Caenorhabditis elegans: one gene and its partners. The protein of the gene in region 1 purifies or fractionates together with the protein of each later gene. This does not show direct contact. Each region holds a gene or a part of one and is shown in the gene's direction. Other genes may lie near its edges.

Evidence for each region.
Region 2: the proteins of pfn-3 (region 1) and frl-1 fractionate together in Caenorhabditis elegans (co-fractionation; one large-scale study listed by BioGRID). This does not show direct contact.
Region 3: the proteins of pfn-3 (region 1) and snx-3 fractionate together in Caenorhabditis elegans (co-fractionation; one large-scale study listed by BioGRID). This does not show direct contact.

The regions. Positions count from the first base shown.
Region 1 is NC_003284.9:1,078,840-1,082,465, reverse strand, and holds pfn-3 (Profilin-3), read left to right. Parts: upstream 1-1,816; 5' UTR 1,817-1,840; coding exon 1,841-1,951; intron 1,952-2,552; coding exon 2,553-2,600; intron 2,601-2,646; coding exon 2,647-2,770; intron 2,771-2,822; coding exon 2,823-2,920; 3' UTR 2,921-3,036; downstream 3,037-3,626. Other genes in the region: LIM/homeobox protein lim-6, read right to left, coding at 3,127-3,236. UniProt on the Caenorhabditis elegans protein: Binds to actin and affects the structure of the cytoskeleton. At high concentrations, profilin prevents the polymerization of actin, whereas it enhances it at low concentrations. By binding to PIP2, it inhibits the formation of IP3 and DG.
Region 2 is NC_003281.10:2,122,480-2,127,208, forward strand, and holds the start of frl-1 (GBD/FH3 domain-containing protein), read left to right. Parts: upstream 1-1,657; 5' UTR 1,658-1,662; coding exon 1,663-1,750; intron 1,751-4,729.
Region 3 is NC_003279.8:9,062,706-9,065,978, reverse strand, and holds snx-3 (Sorting nexin-3), read left to right. Parts: upstream 1-1,575; 5' UTR 1,576-1,580; coding exon 1,581-1,676; intron 1,677-1,718; coding exon 1,719-1,784; intron 1,785-1,830; coding exon 1,831-2,051; intron 2,052-2,139; coding exon 2,140-2,245; 3' UTR 2,246-2,701; downstream 2,702-3,273. Other genes in the region: rad-54.L (DNA repair and recombination protein RAD54-like), read right to left, coding at 1-222, 296-374, 789-892; prmt-7 (Protein arginine N-methyltransferase 7), read left to right, coding at 2,832-2,920, 3,012-3,136, 3,189-3,273.

The DNA.
Region 1 (3,626 bases):
ATTATTTCATCAAATTTTATCTAGATTCAATTTTTAGGCTGACGTTTCCTGTTGAGTGGACGCCAAAATGAGCCGTCCTAAAAAGCATCCTTATGTTTCAGCGTGCAAGCCGCAAATCAAAAATTCGACATTGATCTCATTAGACACTTTCCTTGCAAATCAATCAATAGTTTTTGAAATTTCGATGGCCGTCGGTGAGCGGGGCTATCCGTTTCCCTTTCTCTCTCTTGAATGTTTTCGTCGCGTCAGTGGAACCTGCAGATAAAGCAAATGAGAGAAAAAGACATAGAGCAAACGACAGCTTTACACTATGATTGTCGAGTTCTGCCCCGGGGATAGGCTCTCCTCTGCCACAGCGACTCCTCTCCCGCCCTTCATCTATCTGCGGTACTTCATTCCCCCGTACACTGTTCCAATCGGCGCGCGCTCTCTTCAGGATCAACACACTGTTCTCACACACACACACACGGGAGGCAAGGAGACAAACTGGTGTCTTACGGCTATTGAGCGGCAATTCAGTCTTAGTCTCACATTTTATGTCCAACAGAGGCTCAGCGAGCAACGAACCCCACGCAAATATCTTCCGATCTCTTTGCGTCCCGGTTTTGAAACGAACGTTTATTGAAACTTTTTGAAAGTTAGATTTCTCACTTTTTGTTAATTTTTTCGAATTGTTTTTATTTATGACGTCTTCCCCATATTGCCGTATTTTCTGAAAATATCAAAAAGTGGTAAATTGCAAAACTGACCAAAAATGAAAATTTTGTTAAGAAATAATTTACCTGCTGTGGCTCTAAAGTCTTTTATATATGTTTTTTTCGAATACTACATTTAATGTAACAAAACTGGTGTGCGTGTACGTGAAAATCTTGAAATTTAGTAGGCATCCACTTTGAGGATAATTTTCTGAGGAAATGCCAAAAATCAGCACCCCAAATGATATCATGGCCGGACATCTACCGGGATTCGGTCTTGCAATAAGCTAACTCACTACTGATGGAAGCACAATGCGGAGCGTAACCCGGTAGATGTCGAGTCATGATAACACTTCTGGTCCCGGTTTTTACAGTATTCCTAAAAGTAACTATCCAATTGTGGGTATTTCAAATTTAAGGATAAAAATACTGGGCCTATTCTTTCTATCTTTTTTTGAATCTCAGACAGGTTTTAGATTTGAGACCTTTCTAGTTAACCTCAATAATTAAATTCTCCAGTACTGGTAACAAGAAATCTCAAGGTTTTTTATTTGCTCTGTAATTCTTGGCTCAAACTCAAACTTTCACTGATTTCAATATTGATGTTAAGCACCTGGTCGTATTAATTTAATGTTGCTATAATGCTTTGTAAAAGTTGAGAAATTTGAAGGTGGCACAAATTTGTAGAAAATTTTACGTCATTTTCTAAAACAAAACTGCTATAAAAATAACTGCCGCTTTCCATCTAAAAGTATCCGCTGAAAATTCTAATAATATTTTATAGACATCGAATTACCTAACAACGAATTATAAAAAAAATTTTGTTGTAAAACCAAGTTTTAGCTTCTATAAAACCAAGTTTTAGCTTCTCCTAAGCAGGTAGTTAGACCTGATTTCATAATCGTTTACCAGACATGCGATCAGATATCTAATCAACATGTGTTCATTACTCATCTCTCCAAACTGCTATTTCAAAATAATTTCTTCATGATTTTTTGGAAAACGTCAGAAACCAAGCGTCATCTGTTTCCATATCTCTCTCTCTTTCTCCCACGCACTGCACAATTGTGCCCCGTTTTCCACGTTTTGAGCTTCTAGACTTTCACTTTTACTTTCAAAGTTTTCAGCACACACAAAACGAAAACATGTCGTGGTCTGATATTATCAACAATAACCTTATCGGGTCTGGAAATGTGAGCAAGGCTGCCATTCTTGGATTCGACGGAGCTGTATGGGCAAAGAGTGATAACTTTAATGTAAGTTTTCAAAGTTTTTAAAATTGTCAAGTTGCCAAAATCTCGACTTTCAGTGGCATGATCAGCTTGTGATTGGTGTTAGAACTTTTTTGAGATATTAAAACTGGAAAGGACTTGCAATTTTCTTAGGCTAGAATTCTAGGTATTTCTCTAGGAATGCAACTCCTGGTCGATACACCACCTCTCTTTGAATCTCATCTCTGATCTAAAAACACTGTAAACTTCTATCAAAATCTATATTTTGTCTGCACCAGTTTTGAAAGATTAGTACATGGTGCATTGACAGATAATGAACAAATACCGCCTGCGTGAGTTTTGTTACTGAAAGCATATTTAGCTTGTTATAAAAATAGTCTTCATGTAGGAAAGGTGTGTTGGTGTACTGTAGAAGTACTTTAGTGTTACTATTGTTCAAAAATACGTTTTATCTATTGAAGGAATCGTCGGTGAAGATGGTGTAGGAATATTGTAGTGTAGGATTATTTTAGTCCTAAAAATAAGGTTTCGTTATTTTTTGGAAAACATAAGTTGAGGCTAGAGTCGGGGCACTGAGCACTGTAGTAGATCAAGCAGTACAATTTGAATAGTAACGTATTTCCAGATCTCCGTCGAAGAAGCCGTCGCCGCAGGAAAAGCCTTCACCTCCTTGGTACCTTTTGCTTCTCTTAATATCATTCTCACCCTCTAATTTTCAGGATGCTCTTCTTGGAACCGGCCTCCGCTTGGAAGGACAAAAATTCTTGGTCCTCAACGCAGATAATGACAGAATAATTGGAAAGCAAGGAGGATCTGGATTTTTCATCTACAAAACTATCCAAGGTGAACTAACTAGGATTACTAGACTGATTTAAACAATCTCTGAAACTTTTAGCCGTTATTATTTCCATCTACGAGAAAGGACTCCAACCAGAAATGTGCAGCAAGACCACCGGAGCCCTGGCCGATTACTTCAGGTCCATCAAGTACTGATCACAATTCCCGAAGCCTCCTGCCGATTTGCCATCCATGTTTGCATTTTTTTTTTTGTATTTTTTCATTTCGTTTCTTTTTTATATAAATAAATAATGAAATAAATATTTATCTTTCTCAAAATTCAAAAAAATAGCAACTCGAAATAAATAATATGAGGTGAAAAGCAAAATAAAGCGGGTGGTTTGATTTCCGAACAAAAAAAGTCAAGAGTGATATGGAAAATAAATTTGGGAAGATGTCATATTATACAGTTTTTGAATTGGGTCCGTGTAGCTTGAAGTTTCCGAAGTCTCCACCTCGTCAGCGTCCAGGTCTGAATTTTTTTTTTGATAAGAACAATTGTTTGAATTCTAGAAGTCTATAGTTTTAGCCCTTTTGGTTCAGCTATCCGGGACTGACCAACTGAACAATTATGTAAAAGTATAGTGAAGCTTAGGCCGATCTTGCTGCAAATTTCGAGTTGGGCCTGCATCGCCCGACACCTCACCGGTTATACAAATCTATAGGAATTCACCTGGCATGGTTAGCCGACACAAGCACGGACCGTATCGGCTAGCCGTACCATGTGTACTACGCGTGAAGCCTTCTTGAATTTGATTGTTTTAAGGTTCGCAATTTTGCCGGGCTCGGGAACCCTCATATTCCCAAAACGTGGATCAATCTATTTTACACCGGATTGCTAGTCAAGAAAAGATTGACCAAT
Region 2 (4,729 bases), on another chromosome or scaffold:
TCAATTTTATACTCCTTAAACAATGAAAATACATACTTTTCCAATACTTTATCAATTATTTGTAAGTATGTTCCCTAAATTTTATATTTAGCAGGAAATTATTGGTTTTTGGGTTTGATACTCACCGCGGGCCAAACTTTTTATTTTGTTTGTTTTAAAGTTTATATATTTTGTAGACTTATTTTTTAAAATTATTGTGTTGGTTTTCCAAGAAAAAGTGTATTTTCTAGGTTAAAAACTCATTTTCTCAACTTTTCATGCTTATTTTCAAATTTTCCATGCAATTTTACATTGGAAACCATTTTTTTTTGAAATTTTTGAAATGTACACTTTTGGCTCAGCCGGTAACAGAGATGACTGGTGAGAAACAGGTCCGGGGTTCGATCCCCGCTGAGGTCAATAATTTTTGTTGTACTTTTTTTGTAGTTTTTAGGCAGTTAAATATCAAAAGGGGGTTTTTTTTTCTTTTTTTTTTGAAAAGAAGAAGAAAACACACTTTCGTACTAGTCATGACAATTTCTAGACGTTTTGAACAAAATTTTCATGATCTACGAGCAATTTTACACCGAAACCGGGGGATTTTTATTCGAAATGTTGAAATGTACACTTTTAGAGCAACAGGTAACAGGGATGGCTGATAAGAAATAGGTCGGGGGTTCGATCCCCGCAGTGGTCAATAATTTGGTGACTTGACAAGTTTCAAGTATTTTTATGTAATGTGGAGTAGTTTTTCAAGTAGTTTTGCGCACAACTTTGAAACTTTTTGACGAATTTTTAGGAAAAGTGAATTTTCGTGGCTAAATACTTTTCTTGTCTGATTTTTATATTTATTTTCAAATTTTCCATGCAATTTTACATTGGAAACCATTTTTTTTTTTGAAATTTTGAAATGTACACTTTTGGCTCAGCCGGTAACAGAGATGACTGGTGAGAAACAGGTCCGGGGTTCGATCCCCGCTGAGGTCAATAATTTTTGTTGTACTTGTTTTGTAGTTTTTAGGCAGTTAAATATCAAAGGAGAGGGGTTTTTTTTCGAATTTCGTTACGAACCTTTGCAGTTTTAATTTTCACGTAAAATTTTTGAATAACTTTTCAAATTTTTACTTTTGTCGTGGGGTTACTGTAGTTCCAAAAGTACGCGAACACCGAATAGACTAGAATTTGCTTGGAATCAAGATTTATGAGTAAAAAATTATAAAAAACTTTTAAAAAATACGCACCTTTTCAATTTGTTGAGCCAAAATTAGTTTTTTATTTTCATTTTTCAGAATTATCCCAATAATTTTTAGCACAATTTCTTGTGTTATTATCATTTTTCTTATCAACATTTCCCCTTATTTATTCACCTTTTGTGCCAACCGACCTCTGACTGTCATGTTTCTCTACATCTCTGCCGCTCTCTCCGTTCAAATGAACAGATTAAAACCACTCTTTTTCGGGAATTTTTTTTAGAAATGTTTGTACAGAATTTTCTCGGTACTCTCTACAAGTTGTTCACTATTCTCACAGTTTTTGAATCTTTTTTTAATGAAAAAAAAAGTCTGAAAATTTTGCTCCGATGCACCATGTTTGCTTTTTGAGAAGCAAATGTTTCAAACCACCGGGTTTTCGTTTTTTAAAAAGATTTTTTGATGAAAAATTGAGGTTTTTTTTTTAGAAAATATGAAATCTAGAGAAAATTCTACATCGGAATCGCTTTCGGAAACTTCTGAAATTCGCCGGAAAGCTGTCAGTGAGGATTTGCAAAACGGTGAGTTTTTTTTTTCATGAAATCATAATTTTTAATATTTTCTAGCAAATGACAAATTGGACTTAATTGAAAAAAAAATCAACAAAAAATTCGCCCCAAAATCTTGAAAACTGACAAATTCACGAGATTTCTTGCTAAAAAGCAAAGGTTTTTTACGAGATTTCAGTAAATTTATGAATTTTTGCGTGGAAAACGTGATTTTCGTTAATTTTTTATAGTAATTTTCGAGTTTTTCACGTAATTTTACGGTAGAATCCGTTTTTTTTGCCAAAATGTTTAAAATTCACTTTTGGCGCAACTGGTAACAGGGATGGCTGGTGCGAAATAGGTCGGGGGTTCGATCCCCGCGGCGGTCAATAATTTTTGGTTAGTTGATCTGGCAATTTCCAGTATTTTTCAGTAATTTACAGTAGTTTTCTAAATGATTTCGAGCGAAAAGTTCAACTTTTGAGAGTTTTTAACGAATTTTCGAGGTTAAAAACTCATTTTATCAACTTTTCAAGTTTATTTTCGAGTTTTCCACGTAATTTTACAGTAGAATCCGTTTTTTTTTCTAAATTTTAAAAATGCACTTTTGGCGCAACTGGTAACATGAATGACTGATAGGAAATAGGTCAGGGGTTCGATCCCTGCTGTGGTCAATAATTTTTGTTTTGTTAGTTGTTTTTTTTTCTTCATGTTATAATAAGTTTTCGATAGTTTTTCTTGGTTTTCCCCCAGTTTCCACGTCAATTTCTCCACACCTAATTCAACAAATCTCATAAAATGTAACACTGTGGTTTTCGTATCCCCCATTTCCTTTTTCCATGAAACAATAAAACGCATGAAATTAAATATGCCCATTGCAAAGATTTGAACAAGGGAAATGGGAGAGGAGATGGAGAAGACGAAGAAAACACACTTTCGTACTAGTCATGGCAATTTCTAGACGTTTTGAACAAAATTTTCTTGATCTACGAGCAATTTTACACCGAAACCGGAGGATTTTTTTTCGAAATTTTGAAATGTACACTTTTAGAGCAACAGGTAACAGGGATGGCTGATAAGAAATAGGTCGGGGGTTCGATCCCTGCTGTGGTCACTAAATTTTGTTTTGGTGACTTGACAATTTTCAAGTATTTTTATGCAATGTGGAATAGTTTTTCAAGTAGCGCTGAGCTGAAAATGCAACTTTTGAAACTTTTTGGCGAATTTTCGAGGCTAAATACTTATTTTTGCTGATTTGTGTATTGATTTTCAAGTTTTCCACGTAATTTTACAGTAGAATCCGTTTTTTTCAAAATTTTAAAAATGCACTTTTGGCGCAACTGGTAACATGAATGACTGATAGGAAATAGGTCAGGGGTTCGATCCCTGCTGTGGTCAATAATTTTTGCCTTGTCGATTTGTCAATTTCCAGTGTTTTTCAGTTATTTACAGTAGTTTTATAAATGATTTCGAGCGAAAAGTTCAACTTTTGAGACTTTTTAACGAATTTTTGAATGAAAAGTGAATTTTCGAGGTTAAAAACTCATTTGCACAAATTTTTATGTTAATTTTCAAGTTTTCCATGCAATTTCACACTGGGAACCTTTTTTTTCGAAATTTTGAAATTTACACTTTTGGCTCAGCCGGTAACAGAGATGGCTGGTGAGAAATGGGTCGGGGGTTCGATCCCCGCTGTGGTCAATAATTTTTGTGTTGCTTTTTTTGTAGTTTTTAAGCAGTTAAGGGTTTTTGAATATACTTTTTCATGAGAAAATTACAAAAATCCCAAAAATTTCACAGATTTTCTCAGTAATTTCTAAAAGTATTGTCTCAATTTTCTATACAACTAATCTGCCTGGGAAATCTAAGGTCATCTGTGTCTCTCACACATTGTTGCGTAATTCTTAATACGCAATACCAGTAGCGGTCATTTCGGTTGGCTGCTGCCGGCGGAGGGAGAGAGAGGGAGACAGTAGACATTTACAAGTAAGTGAGAGAGTATGAGGAATTGAGAGATTTAGAGATAAGAAGGAGGAAACACTGTCATTTACCCATCTCACCACAAGATTGACCCTCCACGCGCAGCAGATGAGGTGAGGTGACTTACGAATTTTTTTGTTGTTGGATTTTTCTCCTTTTAGTTCAGATTTTCGAGTTTTTAATGATTTTACAAGAATTTTCAAGAGATTTCATACAGATTTTTGAATTTTTCATGCAATTTTACATAGGAACCCACTTTTTTTTTTTTGAAATTTTATGATAAAATTCCAATTTTGGCTCACTGGTAACAGGGATGGCTGGTGGAAAATTGGGAAATTTGGTCGGGGGTTCGACCCCCACTGTGGTCAATAATTTTTGTTTCAATGACTTGTCAATTTTCATGTATTTTTATGTAAGGTGGAGTAGTTTTTCAAGTAATTTTGAGCTCAAAATACAACTTTTGAAACTTTTTGACGGATTTTTTTTTCGGAAAAGTGAATTTTCAAGGCTAGATACTTATTTTTGCTGATTTTTGTATTGATTTTCAAGTTTTCCATGCAATTTCACATTGGAAACCATTTTTTGGAATTTTAAAATTACATTTTTGGCTCAGCCGGTAACAGAGATTACTGGTGAGAAATAGGTCCGGGGTTCGATCCCCGCTGAGGTCAATTATTTTTTCAATACTTTTTAAGGACAGTTTTTACTAGATTTTTATTAGACGTGGTTTTTTTTGCTGAAAAGTTTCAAAATTTGCGACTTTTTGGGTTATTTCCAGGAAAAATGAATTTTCGAACCAAAAAACCAAATTTTGCAAGATTTTACGTAAAATTTTGAGTTTCCCATGCAATTTTACTTCTGAAACAGCTTTTTTTTCGAAATTTCAAAAGTGCACTTTTGGCTCAACTGGTAAGAGAGATGACTGATAGAAAATAAGTCAAGGGTTCAATCCCCGCCGCGGCCAATATTTTTTGTTATTTATGTTATGTTTTTTAAAAAACTTATTTGAGACACTTTTCACTAGATTTCACC
Region 3 (3,273 bases), on another chromosome or scaffold:
TGAAAACTTTCTCGACAACAACTTCGCAATCATAGCATCGTGATCTGATGATTCGGAAGCCATACGTCTAGAGAATACATCGATATTCACAAAACGTAATGGACTTGCTTCTTCTACAGATACAGGTGGTTCTATGGCAGGCAGTGCCTTCTTTCGTCGTCGAAGACCTTGTTTTGAAGGAGAAACTGACGTAGAAAAAGGGGAAATGAAGGTTTTGTGTATCTGAAAAACATTAAAAATTACAATTACAATTAAGTTCCGAATTGTATTTCATTGCAACTAAAAATATTAATACATTTTTCGGTTCCTCCGTTCGTCCTGAATATCCTAGACTTTTCCGTTTTTGTGTTGGAGCAGTAGAGCTTGTGGAAGGTCTGAAAATAATATACCGCATTTCCTCTATTAGTCTTGCATGCAAGACTAATTTTCAATAGACCCGTAGGGGTGCAAGACTAATAGGGACTGCAAGACTATTAGAGGCTACAAGACTAATTTTCGAAGATCCAATAGCTTTGTTAAATTGGCCATTTATCGTCAAAATTTTGACTTGAAACAGTCTAAATCATGCAAAATACATGCTTTTCTATTGTTTTATCAATTACTTGAACAGTTTAAAATTTAATTTAGCTAAAAAATGGCGAAAATTTTGAAGTTTTGACAAAATACTGCTGGCCTGGCAAGAATAGGGGTGCATGACTATTACCGTATTTCCTCTATTAGTCTTGCATGCAAGACTAATAGAGGGAATACGGTATGTGTTAAAATTTGAATTTTTTATAAAAGCTCACAAATTTTCCGGTGTAACTTCTCGTTTCCTTTTTGGCAGTTCAACTGGGATATTAACATCTTTTCCATGACTATCTTCTAAATTTTCGAACGTTTTTTTTGGCATTCCTGAAAACTAAGAAAATCTTTAATTTCGCAGAACAACTGAATAAACAAGTAGAATTTACAGAAATTCAACAAAATTTTTAAAATGCTCTTTTTATTCAAAAAGAACGGCGCCGCGCCATCTTGAACGAAAACAAAGTTTCGAAGAAGACGAAACACGGACACAGGGCGGTGTCAGCTATTAATTTTCAATTTAACAATTATTTTACAACATAGATTTGTTGTGAAACATTTTTTTGCTTTTGAATCAATTATAATCTTTTTAAAATTTTGAGTCATAGCGAGTCACTGCTTTTTCATTCCATGAATCTGCGGTGTCTGCTTTTGAAATTTCAGTTTGAGGTACGGTTGAATTTTTTGTGTGCATTAACACAAAAGTGTTTGCGTACTTTTGCCACTTTTTTCATTTCTTGATTCGTTTTGTTTATCGGCGCGCGATGAGTCATTTTTGCCGTAATTTCCTTGAAATTCCAGTTTTATTTATTGATTTTTCACAGCTTCATATTATTTTTTCCATTTTAGTTTGCCGAACAGCGAAACAAAAAGCAAACGATGTTCTCGCATGTTGTCGATTAAAGCTTTGGATTCCAACATAAATTTCACTTTTATTTTGTTTATATTGTGAAAATCGATACTTAAATAAACAATTCAAAGCAACTTTGATATAATTTAGAATATTTGCAGTGCAAATGGCATCCGGCGCGTCGGCAACTCAGCGGATCCCTTCAAAACGGCAAACGCTGGACGAGGCATATGCCCCGCCGGCCAACTTCCTTGAAATTGAGGTTTGAATAAAAATCAATGAATTAGATCAAGATAACTTGCAGGTTATCAATCCTATCACTCATGGTGTTGGAAAAATGCGCTACACGGATTACGAAATCAGAATGAGAGTAAGTATAGATTAACACTGACCGCATAATAAAATCGTTGTTTCAGTCGAATCTCCCCGTTTTCAAGCAGAAAGAATCAAGCGTGCGTCGCCGATACAGTGATTTCGAATGGGTTCGTGCTGAACTAGAGCGAGATAGCAAGATTGTGGTTCCAACGTTGCCAGGAAAATCATTCAAACGGCAACTGCCATTCCGATCCGATGATGGAATTTTTGAAGAGGAATTCATTGAAAATAGGCGCAAAGCTCTCGAGTTATTCATCAATAAGTACGTAAAACTGTTCAACTATACGGACATCAAAATGAACTCAGAAAATTTTCACATTTCTAAAAGTTTTAATAATATGTTCTTGCAGGGTTGCTGGACATCCACTTGCTCAAAACGAACGCTCTCTCCATATTTTCCTCCAGGAGCCAACTATTGACAAAAACTACGTGCCTGGCAAAATTCGTACCGCTTAAATTTTAAAATGTTTCTAAATTCTCCGCTCACGAGAAAAATCTCAAAATACCCAGAGTTATAGTTTTAACGCTGTCTGTTTCAATAAACAGAAGGAAACTTTTAAAAAATGATAATGTTTTCTTATCATATTTTTACATAACAAAAAATGAGTAACGCTTTCTGATCTTTTGAGATATTTAGTTTTCAAAAAGTGAGTTTTTAGAAGCTTTTTTCCAATTTAATCTCGGCCCATCAAAATATTGTTTCCATCCCTCCACCAAAATGCGGTATTTTTCGAAATTGTGTACTTTGTCCCCATCACCACTTCTTTCCCATTGATTTCCATTTTCTGGCTCCTGTTTATTTCATATTTATTTTTACATTTTTGTGTATAGTTTCCCAATTTCCCAATTGATTGCACTATTTTTATTGCATGAACCCCTTTTATTTGAACAAATATGAAAAATAAGTCTTCCGTTCCTTGATTTCGTTTCTTTGGATTTTAAAGTGGTAAATTGGCAGTTGTGTGCATATCGCAAATATCTTGAGTGTATCATTAAAACGAGCATATCTTTAAGATAGACAATTTGCAGGGTTTTCTGAAAAATGTTCCTTGAGAAGATAAATCAAAAAACCGGCGAACGAGAATGGGTTGTGGCTGAAGAGGATTATGATATGGCTCAGGAACTTGCCAGGTTTTCAACTTTAAAAAAATATTCCGCATAGAAATAAAATTTAATAAACAATACTTCTCGCATTTTCTTGCTTTAAAACGTTAATTTTCAGAAGTCGATTTGGAGATATGATTCTGGATTTTGATAGAAATGACAAGTTCCTCGCAGGATTAAAAACTACGATTGCTGAGAAAAAACATGAAAATACAGATGGGAAAGTTCATGTTTTAGATATTGGTTAGCTGTTAAGTTTTCAACTTATTCGGTTTTTAAAGTTTACTATTTACAGGTACTGGAACTGGACTTCTTTCACTAATGGCTGCTCGAGAAGGAGCTGATAAAGTGACTGCATTGGAAGTTTTCAAACCAATGGG